Drosophila melanogaster: one gene and its partners. The protein of the gene in region 1 interacts with the protein of each later gene in a pairwise test. Each region holds a gene or a part of one and is shown in the gene's direction. Other genes may lie near its edges. The genes, in order: scramb1, tj and Vsx2.

Region 1 (3,756 bases):
TCTGCTGAATATCCAAAAGAAAGTAAGTCGATTTAAGTGATCATTACTATTTGATATTTAATATGTACACAGTTAACTTTTTTGCATAACCTTTGGTATTGATGTTGGATTTTGTAGCAGTGTAGGGACCCGCATGGCTGTTTACCATTGCATTATGTTGGCTGCTTGCCGCCTGCCTGATTTTTTGAGAGCCTCTCCTGCACTGAACCGTTCAGCGACGGCCCTGGCCCAAAGGTCATGGGTGGGGCCAAAAGGGGCTAAAAGGTGGTGGTGGCACAAAAGGGGGCTGGCCTGGCAACAACTGCTGCACTGCTGAGCCCGGCTTTTGTGCCTTTGGTCGGTTGCCAACCGCAAATATGTTCGCGTTCCCGGTCCCCATTCTGAATGCGAATTCTCAGTCGGTTGTTTTATTTTCGCATTCTGCATTTGCTGCCATTGCAAAGTCAACTAATTGAATGTGCTAAACTCACCCACACAGCAGCAGCACAAATATTGCGTTATATGGCGCATTAAACGCTCAGTTCTGGATTTCTTCCCTGACCCTGATGAGTCCTTCTCCAGGACCCCTCTAGATCCACTAAATCCGCCCTGCACAGAAAGAAACAATAGCTTTTAGGCAAATTATATAAGTCAATTAATAATATATAATATATTCCATTATACATTCGTATAATAGTTCTAAAATTGTCAAGCTGTAAATAAACATCACGCAAACGTAGTGAAAATTTTATTGTGCAGGATTTTGTGTTCCTTTAAGGAATATATTTAGTATATAGAAATATATCAGTGGACATTGGGTTCTAAGTTTATAGCATCGAGGACGAAATGTGTGATTTTGCGCGGTGTGTGGGTGGTCCTCCACCATGACGGTAATGCTGATGACGATTCCTCCATTTCTCGCTGCATTTGTATGGGTAATTACCGTGGTGTGTGTGAGTGAGTGAGGGACGTCTGCTAGATGTCCATGACCATGGGGTGGAATTCTGCTCGCAGTTTTTTTCTATATACACGGTTTTTAGCATTTTTTTCACATTTCAACAGCCCGTCTCTTTCACTCTTACAACAGTCGCTCACCCTGCCCACATTTTTTCCATCATTTTTTTTTTTGCGTTTTACTTGCGTCGGAAACCGCCATTTTTTATGCGCGCCAACTACGCCGCCCTCTCTATTCCTCTCTCTCCCTTTCTACCACGCAGCCCCTCTCTGTCGCACCCTTGAGGTGTAGGGGAGGCACACCCTCTCAATGAAAATTTGCGCATTAGAAAAAATGTGGACTGTTCTCTGAGCCAGTTGTGGCATACAAAATGGATTTATTCAGCATTTTTTTTTTAACTATACGATTTTTGTTTCTATTTAATTTGGACAGTTGTATTTTTGATATAGTTATAGTATAAGTAAAGCAAGAAAAAACGTATATTACAAAATGTAAATTTAAGCAATTTAAAAACATAAATTAATAATCAAAGGAAATGCCTTATTTACTAAATAGCTTCTAAAACATAAATTTTAATTATGCTGAAAACAATAATAATAACTAGTTGAATAAGTAACTTTATGCGAATTCTTATTATTTTAATAAGCATATGTTAAAGTTAGGGAAACGCTTTCTTTAAGCATTTAGTATATAAAACAATATTATTATTTATTTATTTTTTAGGAAATATATAAATACCGTTTAAATAAACTAATAATTTCAGAGCGTAGTAGATTAGTTTTTAAATGTAACTGATTCACATTCAAATTTCAAGAAACCAAGTTACAAGCTCGTAGGTTTGAGTCTTTACTGGGCGTTTCAATTTTGGATGGTGTCTTTGCTTGCTGTATTCTGCTAATAATAGAGCAATGCTGTTATGAAAACATTTCATTTATACATGACTTTTACATTGTCAAGTAAACATTTTGTTAAAAAGATTGATGGCGCCATCTATTCAATTTTAAAATATATTTAATATTTGTTAATTTTAATTCATATAACTGAACTTTGTATTTAAAGTTATGCATTCTAGGAATTATCTAACTTCTTTCAAACCAGAGAAATTGTCCGCTAAAAACTTGGCATATTTAGCGTGTAGCTGGTATTTTTTCGCTCTTCAGTCACGGTTACACTCCGAAACCCACCTGATTTCGCGAACTGCATTACTATCGAAACTACTACTGTACTTAACAGAAAGTGCGTGCAAAACAAATACAACATTGTTGCGATTTCGTTGGGGCCGTGGCCGCAACAATTCCCCTCCAGTGCAACAACAACGCAGCACGCGGAGAGCAGAAGAAGAGCAGGAAAAGAGGAAAAATCCGGGGAAATCCCACGAAATGAAGAGTAACGTCAATCAGGGCGGTTACGCCCCACCCGGTTTCGGATCCGGATTCCAGCCAAATGCTCCGCCCGCCGAAGGATTCGGCTACCCACCGCCCACTGGGGGCCACAACGCCCCCTATCCCCCCGCACCCGGTCATCCACAGCCGCCGCCGCCCACGAATTACGTGAGTTCCAAAAGTGTCCCGCTGTAGCCGATGAAAATGCTAGGGAAAGTGGGTGGTGTAAAGGGTGCTTCTTGTACAAGCACAACACAACCATGACGTCATGCCAGTTGGTATTTGCTTATTTATAAATCAACAGACACACAGTCAGTTTGCTGTGGAATGAAAGAGATTCATTCGATTTGCACGCGAATCCGTGGAATCGGCGGTTTGATAAACACAAACAACTGAGAACTCAATGTACATCCATATGTACATACATACTGTAAAACCAGTAATGCAGACTGGATAAGCAAGTCGAAAGCTTAATTCTCTTGCATTTACTTATTTACATTTACGTATGAATGTTTTTATGGCTTTACTATTTTCACTATGTTTTTCACTCATGCCAAAAGAGCGTTTTATTTCCATTAAGTTTTGGATAAACTTAAAATATTACTCATCATTCATGCACAACCGCGTGAAGTTTTCATTCTTATAGAATATTTATTTACTCCATACATTTGCGTGCCAGAGTGCTGATAAGTACAGCTACAAGAATACAAGCCAGAGCACAAAAAACTAATCGAAACGCCCCTGAAATAAGTATTCAACTCATTCTTTAATCAACTCCCGATCGTTGCAGGGGTTTATGCCAGGTCCTCAGCCAGCCGGATACGCTCCAGTTCCCCAAATGCCGCCATACGGAGAAGCTCCGCCCTACGGAGCCGGACAACCACCTTACATGGGTGGTCCAGGTGGTCAGCCACCTTATGCGGGTGGTCCAGGCGGACAGCCACCTTATGTAGGTGGTCCTGGTGGACAGCCACACTACGGAGGAGGAGCACCACCGCCCCAGGCCTTCGGCGGATATCCTCCCGGACCAGCAGGACCAGGAGGACCACCAAACGCATTCGGCGGTTATCCACCGGGACAACCACAACAGCCCATTGTCACGCAACCGGGAATGGGACCGGGAATGGGTCCAGGGATGGCCCCACAGGGCGGACCAGCAGGCAAGTAATCAAAAACTAGTCTGTAACATAAAACAAATGTTCTACATGTTGGACTCACATATTTCTACACAAATCAGGGTGTTCAAATCATGGCACGAGACTTTTATCGCTTTCTGCTTCCTTGTTAAAATTATTCATTCCATATCTGAGCTTACTTCTTATATAATTTTACTACACAAACCGCTGAATCAAAACAAGATCGCATCTTTGTGATGTGTCGGTGTGTCGTTGCCCTGCGATTGAGATAATGTCCAATCAGTTGTCTTAAGATTTCTTCGGG
Region 2 (3,756 bases), on another chromosome or scaffold:
CAGAAGCCTTTCGATATCCCACAACAATATTACATCAGAGCAATCTGTTTGGCCAGCGAAGACAAAACATTTGCTCAAAACAAAAAGTCAGAAAAAAGGGGTTCAAATTAAAGTAAAACAAGAGCGCCCCGTGTCCAAGTTGGGCCGTCGGAGGCTCCTAAGTTCTGTACTCCGTTTCCGCTGGATCAGCATAAAAATGCACCTGTGCACCATGGAATCCTTTGGCCCAAGCAAACACACACATGCCCATGGAGTGGGCAGTGTATTATATACGAGCCAAAACAAATCGAGCGACTTATCTCGGCTAAAACATCTCCCATTGACTTATGCACTGGAAAATGGAACAGTGGACGTGGATGTGGACGTGGATATGGATGTGCCTGTGCTTGTGCGACCCACTCCTGCATATACTTTCCTATGTGGATATACATATGTATGTATGTACATATGGGCACATCCATCTCCACCTCCATCACCGACTTCGTGTGGATGGCCAGCCAAATGAGACTGGAAGTCGGCAAATGGGGCTATGCGGGAATTTCCGTGGTAGTTGCTCATAAATATTCAGACACCAACACACTCGCAGATGGGGAGAGCCACACCGACACACACACGCGCACACAGTGGCAAAGTGGGCGGAGTCGACGACAGCATAAAGTGTGTCTGTGTGTCTATGTGTGCCATTTTTTATGCGCTCCATGGCAATTCAAAAACGCAAACAATAAACCGAGCAGCAGAGCAGCCACACCAACGGTTCCATTCCACCACCAACAAAGTGAAATCCCAGAGCATAGATTTGTGCTCTTGCACAGTGGTCGAGGTATTGGGTATCAAGGGCTTACTGAAACATTACTTACGTGCTACATGTTCCGAAATTTAAACATTAAATAGCTCATCAGTATATATAAAATTTAATAATGTATATAGTATATAATAATGTATATAGCATAATGCATAAAATATGTTTTTCCATGTCCAATTATAAGGCAATGCAGTCAATTTTCTGGCTTGTTAAGTCGCTTTTTTAGACTGTTAACAACATCAACATATTTGTTATTGGTGAAGTAATGTTCTTTGACCAGAATGATTGTTAGTCAAGGGAAGCGATTTTAGCTAAGAATTGATTGAATTTCCACGAAAAGGTCTAAATTTCTTTAAAATACTTAAAAAAGAACGTGAAATTAATAGAATTTTGTATAGATATTCAAGTGTTGTAACATTTAAAGCAGATCAAAATATAATCGCTTTTTCAAAGTTCAAAGTTAGTCCTTTAGCTATAAAATATTGTATTTGATTTAGACAACTTAAACTTGTCAAAATGTACGAATGAAATTATTTTATATTTGCAATTTTTTATCCCACTGTGCAGTGCATCGAATCTACGAAGCTTTCCCGGCTTGACTTTTGTTGTTGTTGTGCGCGAGAGCAGCAGCTGCCGGCAAAAGCACAAACAACAACTACAACTACAACGAAAGGCACTCTCTCTCTCTTGCGGACAAGTGCCTCCCCGCCCTTTCGCCTCTTTCCTTCCTCTAGAACCGTCATTTCCACGTTTCCAACAGGAGTTCCCTCGCACCAAAAGCAAAAGCATCAGCGAATGGCGTTCGAGCTCGGTTTTGTTTGTTGTTGGGCTGGTCGGCTTTTTGGTTTTGGCAAGTCGTTTTGTTTGTCGGCTGTTGGGAAAAGGAATGGGTGTGTGTGTGTGGGTGTGCGCGCGCTGCGCTGCCATTCTAACAGTTATCATCAAGGGAACAGAGCATCCAGAGCAGAGCTTCCAGAGCAGAGCCACCCTCCAGTCAGATTCAGTCCGACCTTAGTTGAAACGGACACGGAGTTCAGTCGCCACCGTTAACTCTTTCACATTGGACGCGAAAAGCGCGTTCGCGAAATTAGTGAGCAAAATTGGAAAGAGAGCGAGCTTACAAATGAATTAAGCGCCAAAGTGCGGATAGTGATCGCTTTAATAAAAGCATACTTACATTTTAAATCATAAATAAGCAATCCAATCTTTTACAACGAAATCTAAGAAACCGGCATCGAAGTAAATATCTAACAGATTCTGGGGTAACCCCAAAAAAAAACGTAACCTAAATCCTGAGATCAAGATAAAACTTAGCCGCAGGCCGAAAGCGCCAGTGCCTGGTTCCGTGACCCCCGATCGCGTAGTTGACCTTTGAAACCACCCACTAACCACCACCCACCAATCAGCACGGTCACTCCCTTGCATGTGAGACCCGTAATCGACCCTCTCCGGTCCCTGGTCGATCCAATGAAAATGGAAGATCCCACCATAAACGACACGTACGTTCAGGAGTTTGATCTGCACCACCTGGAGGTGGGCGGAAATGGAGCTGGCCAATCGCATGGAGCCGGTGCCGCGTCCCAGGTCACGACTTTGGGCCATGTGAAGCGCGAGGATCACAGTCCACCGCAGCCGGTGGCGGTTAAATGGACGACAATCCACGGCGATCCCACGAATCCGGACGATGACCCGGACTCGCTGCCGCTGTCCGGACCAGAGCCCGCCGGAGCAGTGGAGGTCTCGCCATCGCCGCACATCAAGCTGAGGTCCTTCTCCGGCCATCACCAGTGGCACATGGACGAACGGCGCCTGCAACCGCTCTCTCCGCCACCAGAGCAGTATGGTCCGCTGCCCGGACAGGCGATTCTGGTGAACACATCTTCGGGAGCGGGCGTTCCGGGCGGAGTGCCCTCAACGCCGCCGGAAACGCCACCAGTAGTGGGCTCGCCCACGGGCAGCAGCAGCTGTCCGGCTCAGACTTACGCACACCACTATGCGAGGACACCGGGCAGCTCCGTATCCGTATCCGCCTCCGCCGCCGCCGCAGCTGCTGCCTCCGCCGGAGCAGCATCGGTGAGTGCCGGACTGAGCCATGACATGATGTGGCTGACCAACTCGATACGGGCGGACCAGCAGCCGCTGGATCTGCGGCCTTTGCCCTATCCGGGCTCCCAGGAGGAGGCGGAGGAGTGGGACAGACAGCGGGACTACGCCCTGCAGGCGGCGGCAGCTCATCACCACCATCACGGACAGCCGCTGATGCAGGCGCAGCATCATCCGCATGGACACGGCGGTCATCCCCACCAGGTGATGCTGCAGCAGAGCAAGTATCCGCACCACCATCACCACCACTTCCACAATCTGGAACTGACGCCCATCAACATGCACTCGAACTCGTACGGTAGTGCTTCGGGTGCCCTGACGCCCACCTGTCTGCCCCAAGTGCCCAGCAACGGGAGTGGCAGCAGCGGAGGCGGAGGAGGCAGTGGAAGCGGGAGTGGTGGACCCGGCAGCGTGGGTGGCGGCTCCTGCGTCATCACACGGGCTGCCCTTCAGCCGTGCCGCCCGCTCTCCGCCAGCTCGACCAGATCCTCGAACAACATGTCGCCCAGAACCTGTTCGGGTGCCTACAGTAATGCCACGCTGGAGGATTGCCTCAATGACGACATGCTGACCACGTTGACGGTGCGGGAGCTGAACAAGCGGCTCCATGGTTGCCCACGGGAGGAGGTAGTGCGTCTGAAGCAGAAGCGACGCACCCTGAAGAATCGCGGCTATGCCCAGAACTGCCGGTCCAAGCGACTCCATCAGCGCCACGAACTGGAGAAGGCCAACCGGGTGCTCAACCAGGATCTGCACCGCCTGAAGCTGGAGTACTCGAGGGTCTGCCAGGAGCGGGATGCCCTCATGCAGCGTCTGCAGCGGGCGGCAAATGGCGGAGTCGGTGCGGGAGG
Region 3 (3,756 bases), on another chromosome or scaffold:
CCGTTTCGTTTCGATCCGCTCCGATTTCGCTGCGATGGCCGTGTGAGCGTTGGCATTTCAATTGTCTAATTGCCGCGTGGGTTTCTCCATAGGCAGAGCTCACTGTGTGGGGGCGTGAGAAAAGCCCCAAAAGACCCGTTTGCCTGCCACTGATCGTGGCTTTCCAATTGCTGGTGTCTTTATTTTCTTTAAATAGAAATCAATGCGTGTATATAGAATATAATCGATGCGTAACAAAATATATTTATATATTTTTTTGAGAATTAAATATCAACACGTTTTTTCTATCTGTGTATGGCCTTTTGTAGGAGATCCCTTTCGGGACCGAGTTAATTGTAAGTCCCTCAATTGCCTAGCAGTAATTTGCAAGTCCATTACAAGCTCTACTTTTCGACTGCTGCCGAAATCAAGCCGAATTATTTTGCCGAATTTCGGGACATTTCTCCGAGAACAATAACCCACATAGCACGACCCCAAAATCTCTTGAAATCCTGCAAAACTGCGCAGCAAGGACTCTCCCACTGGCACACACGCACACACTCATGCACACAGGACGTGGTGTAAATGCTAATTTACGCATTTCAATAGTACAAGTTTTTGGCGAAAATTTTAATTAGACTGCCTTTTTTTTGGGGAAGGGAAAGGCATTGTTAGGCGGCCGACAAGTGAGTAGTTTCTACCAGCTGGAAACCGAATGGTGGCTCGTTTTTTGGGCCATAAATTGGCGTCCTTCATTGAACGGAGAGCGGTTGGAGTTCCGAGTTCGAGTTCGGGTCTGCGAAATAGTTGTTTTCTTGCGCCTTTTTTTGCGCCACCCCAGCCCTGTTGACCATGCCCTCTCCCACTCTTGCGCTCTCTGGCTCTCTTTCACTCACACAAAATGGGCGCCGCACACTGTGGCAATCGGGCACCAATACAACGGCAAGCAGCGCACCAACACTAATGCGTTTCGGTCCGAACTGGAAGTTCGCGGGAAAACTGGAAGGTTACGCGTGTGCGAGAAGAGCACGGCTAGATGGTGCTTGGAAGGCGCTTGCTGCTCTCCTCACTCTAACGGCGAATGGATGTCGCACATGCGCCATGTTGCCGAGGGGAAGGCCCATATGCTGCTGACTCCCTCGCACTCGCTGAGCGGCGAAGAGTGCGGCTAGCGTGCGACAGAGACCGCCCCTGAATATTTACCGTTGCCGGGCAGCGCAGTCGACGCGAGCGTCGCTGTCGGCGCGCTGCTTTTGCCGCCGTTGCCGCCGTTACTGCTGTTGCTGCTGCTGTTGGTGTTGCTGCTGCTGCTGCAAATGTTGCTGCTGCGCTTGCCATGCGATTTGAGGTCCTCGGAAGAGCAAAGCTCCGCTGGCCGTTTACCGTTTGTTAGCTGAATGCCTCCTTGGCCAAATCCAAAGCGAAATGCAAAGCCAAGTCGAAAGCCAACCACCAGCAGCAACATAACGGCAGCAACAGCACGACAGCAACAGCAACAGCAAACAGAAACAGCAACTGCGACGACAAAACTCCTGGTGCACATTAACGCAGGCAACAGTTTAACGTGGAAATTATTGCGAATTTGTTGTGTGTTTTTCTGCGACGCGTGCCAGCGCAAAATCTCAAAACCTCCATTCGCAAATCCCATTTCGCGTAGTCTTTACAACATTGCAAAACTTGCCTTTGCTTTGTTTTTTTTTTTGTTTTCTGGGTTTCTCAATTGGGACTGCATGATGTTTTCAAGCGATTTGTTTTGACAACGGCAATATCTAGACGTAAATCGAAATATTAGCAATCGAAAATGCCGCAGCGTTCGCCATTTGCCATTCAGGAGCTGCTGGGCTTGGCGGTGGCGGCGGCCACAGAAGCGCCAACCGATCTGACGACAACTGCCGGTGCAACGGTGGCAAAAGAGCGCCAAACGCCAACGCCGCCAAAGACAACAAATGCCACAATGGCAACAGCAGCAACATCAGCAGCTACGGCAGCAACACCAACAAATGCGGCCGAAGGCAATTTAACGAGCGTTTCGGAGCCACAGCAGCAGCCGCAGCAGCAGCAACAAGAGCAGCAGCACCACCAGCCGCACCACCATCAGTACAGGGAGCACCACCAAATGACCATGGCGGCCGCCTCGCGAATGGCCTACTTCAATGCCCATGCGGCGGTGGCAGCGGCCTTTATGCCCCACCAACTGGCCGCGGCGGTGCACCATCATCATCAGCATCAGCACCAGCACCATCCACACCACCACCCGCACCACCCACACGGAGCCGTTGGCGGGCCACCGCCGCCGCCGCCGATGCAGCACCACCACCCCCACCATCCGCACCACCCGCTGCTGCACGCGCAGGGTAAGCCAATGTCCCCGCCAGCGAACCACTCAAATTGCAGTTAATTGCAGTTAGTAAAACACAGATATATATATTTTTTTCATTTATGCATATACTGAACATGGGAAAGTTGAAAAGTGCCGTAGCTAACTTACATATATTTCGCTATAGCGATTTTAAAAATCTTTTGTTCGATGTATTTACACTGACAATCAAAGCTTAAACGCAATTAGCAATCGCAACTGGTTTTGTCACCTGCCAGACACACCAACACAGGCGCACATATACACATGCTCAGATACATTTACAGATTCAGATTCAGATACAGATACATTCGATTCACACGCACACGCACACACAGTGGGGCGAATCGGTGTCTGGAGTGCCGCTTAGTTAGCATAAAAAAGGAATTAATCAGCGGTCCATCGTCCGCCAAATCAGCTTTGGCCCCACTGCAAACGACACAACGCCCGCATCCGCACCACCGCTCCACCGATCCGGCAATCCGGCAATCCGCCTCCGAAGCCACTCCAATCCAAAGCACCACCACTCAAGTTGAGCTGCTAATTGCACTGTGTGTGGATGTGTGTGTGTGAGTGTTTGTGTGTGTGTTGCACTCTGGTTTGAGCATAGCAAAAACTGGGCTTCACAATTGTTGCAATAGTTTGGGCACACTAACGACAATAGTTAGTTTTCATATTGTTTAAATAAAATTCTAGAATCAGTGGAAATCCGAATCAATTTATAATAAGCTTGGTATGCTTTTCGAGTAGGTTTTTGGTCGCTTTTGTGCCACTGTAGGTGCGCCTTTGTTTGGCGATCAGCACAGGCAATGAAACACGCACACTGCAAGAAAATCCCACACACTAACAGTGAACTCGAGTCGACCTGCTGTCTCTCTCGATTCAAAGCTCATTTGCAAGTGGCAATATCATACGAAGTTGGAGCGATGACAGTGAAGGCAGATAAACAGAAAGGCATGAAAAGCCGTGCAGGGATTGGATACACGGTAAAAAACTAGGAACTAGTTGCTGGCTGCCAGAAGTAAGCAGTTGATTAACAACATAAGCACTTCAAATTGTTATATTTCTCATTGGATTTGTGAACTATATCTGGAATGGCATTAATAACAAAATCCTGAAGCGTTTAGCCAAATTTCTTTCACTGTGAAAAGTGCGAGGCTCTGCAGATAATCTTGCAGATTCAAGTGGCAGCTGTTATTATTGTTATTATTATTTTAATTAGCGTTGAAATATCATCATCGTCATCACCGATTTCCATTGCTCTGCAACTGATTCACTGTGCCAATTTCACTGCGCACTCACTCAACTTATGTGGATATGTAGATACATATATGAGTAGATTGAATCTGATTTCTTGATTTCAAATCTGTTTACCCCTACACTTCCGGACCCTTTTTTTTGGGGTCTTATTATTATTATTT

Evidence for each region.
Region 2: the proteins of scramb1 (region 1) and tj interact in a two-hybrid assay, tested with the Drosophila melanogaster proteins (one large-scale study listed by BioGRID).
Region 3: the proteins of scramb1 (region 1) and Vsx2 interact in a two-hybrid assay, tested with the Drosophila melanogaster proteins (one large-scale study listed by BioGRID).

Annotation. Positions count from the first base shown.
Region 1 is NT_037436.4:10,223,588-10,227,343, reverse strand, and holds the start of scramb1 (scramblase 1), read left to right. Parts: upstream 1-2,103; 5' UTR 2,104-2,313; coding exon 2,314-2,484; intron 2,485-3,106; coding exon 3,107-3,476; intron 3,477-3,756.
Region 2 is NT_033779.5:19,462,487-19,466,242, forward strand, and holds the start of tj (traffic jam), read left to right. Parts: upstream 1-1,780; 5' UTR 1,781-2,269; coding exon 2,270-3,756.
Region 3 is NC_004354.4:5,557,987-5,561,742, reverse strand, and holds the start of Vsx2 (visual system homeobox 2), read left to right. Parts: upstream 1-1,559; 5' UTR 1,560-1,780; coding exon 1,781-2,333; intron 2,334-3,756.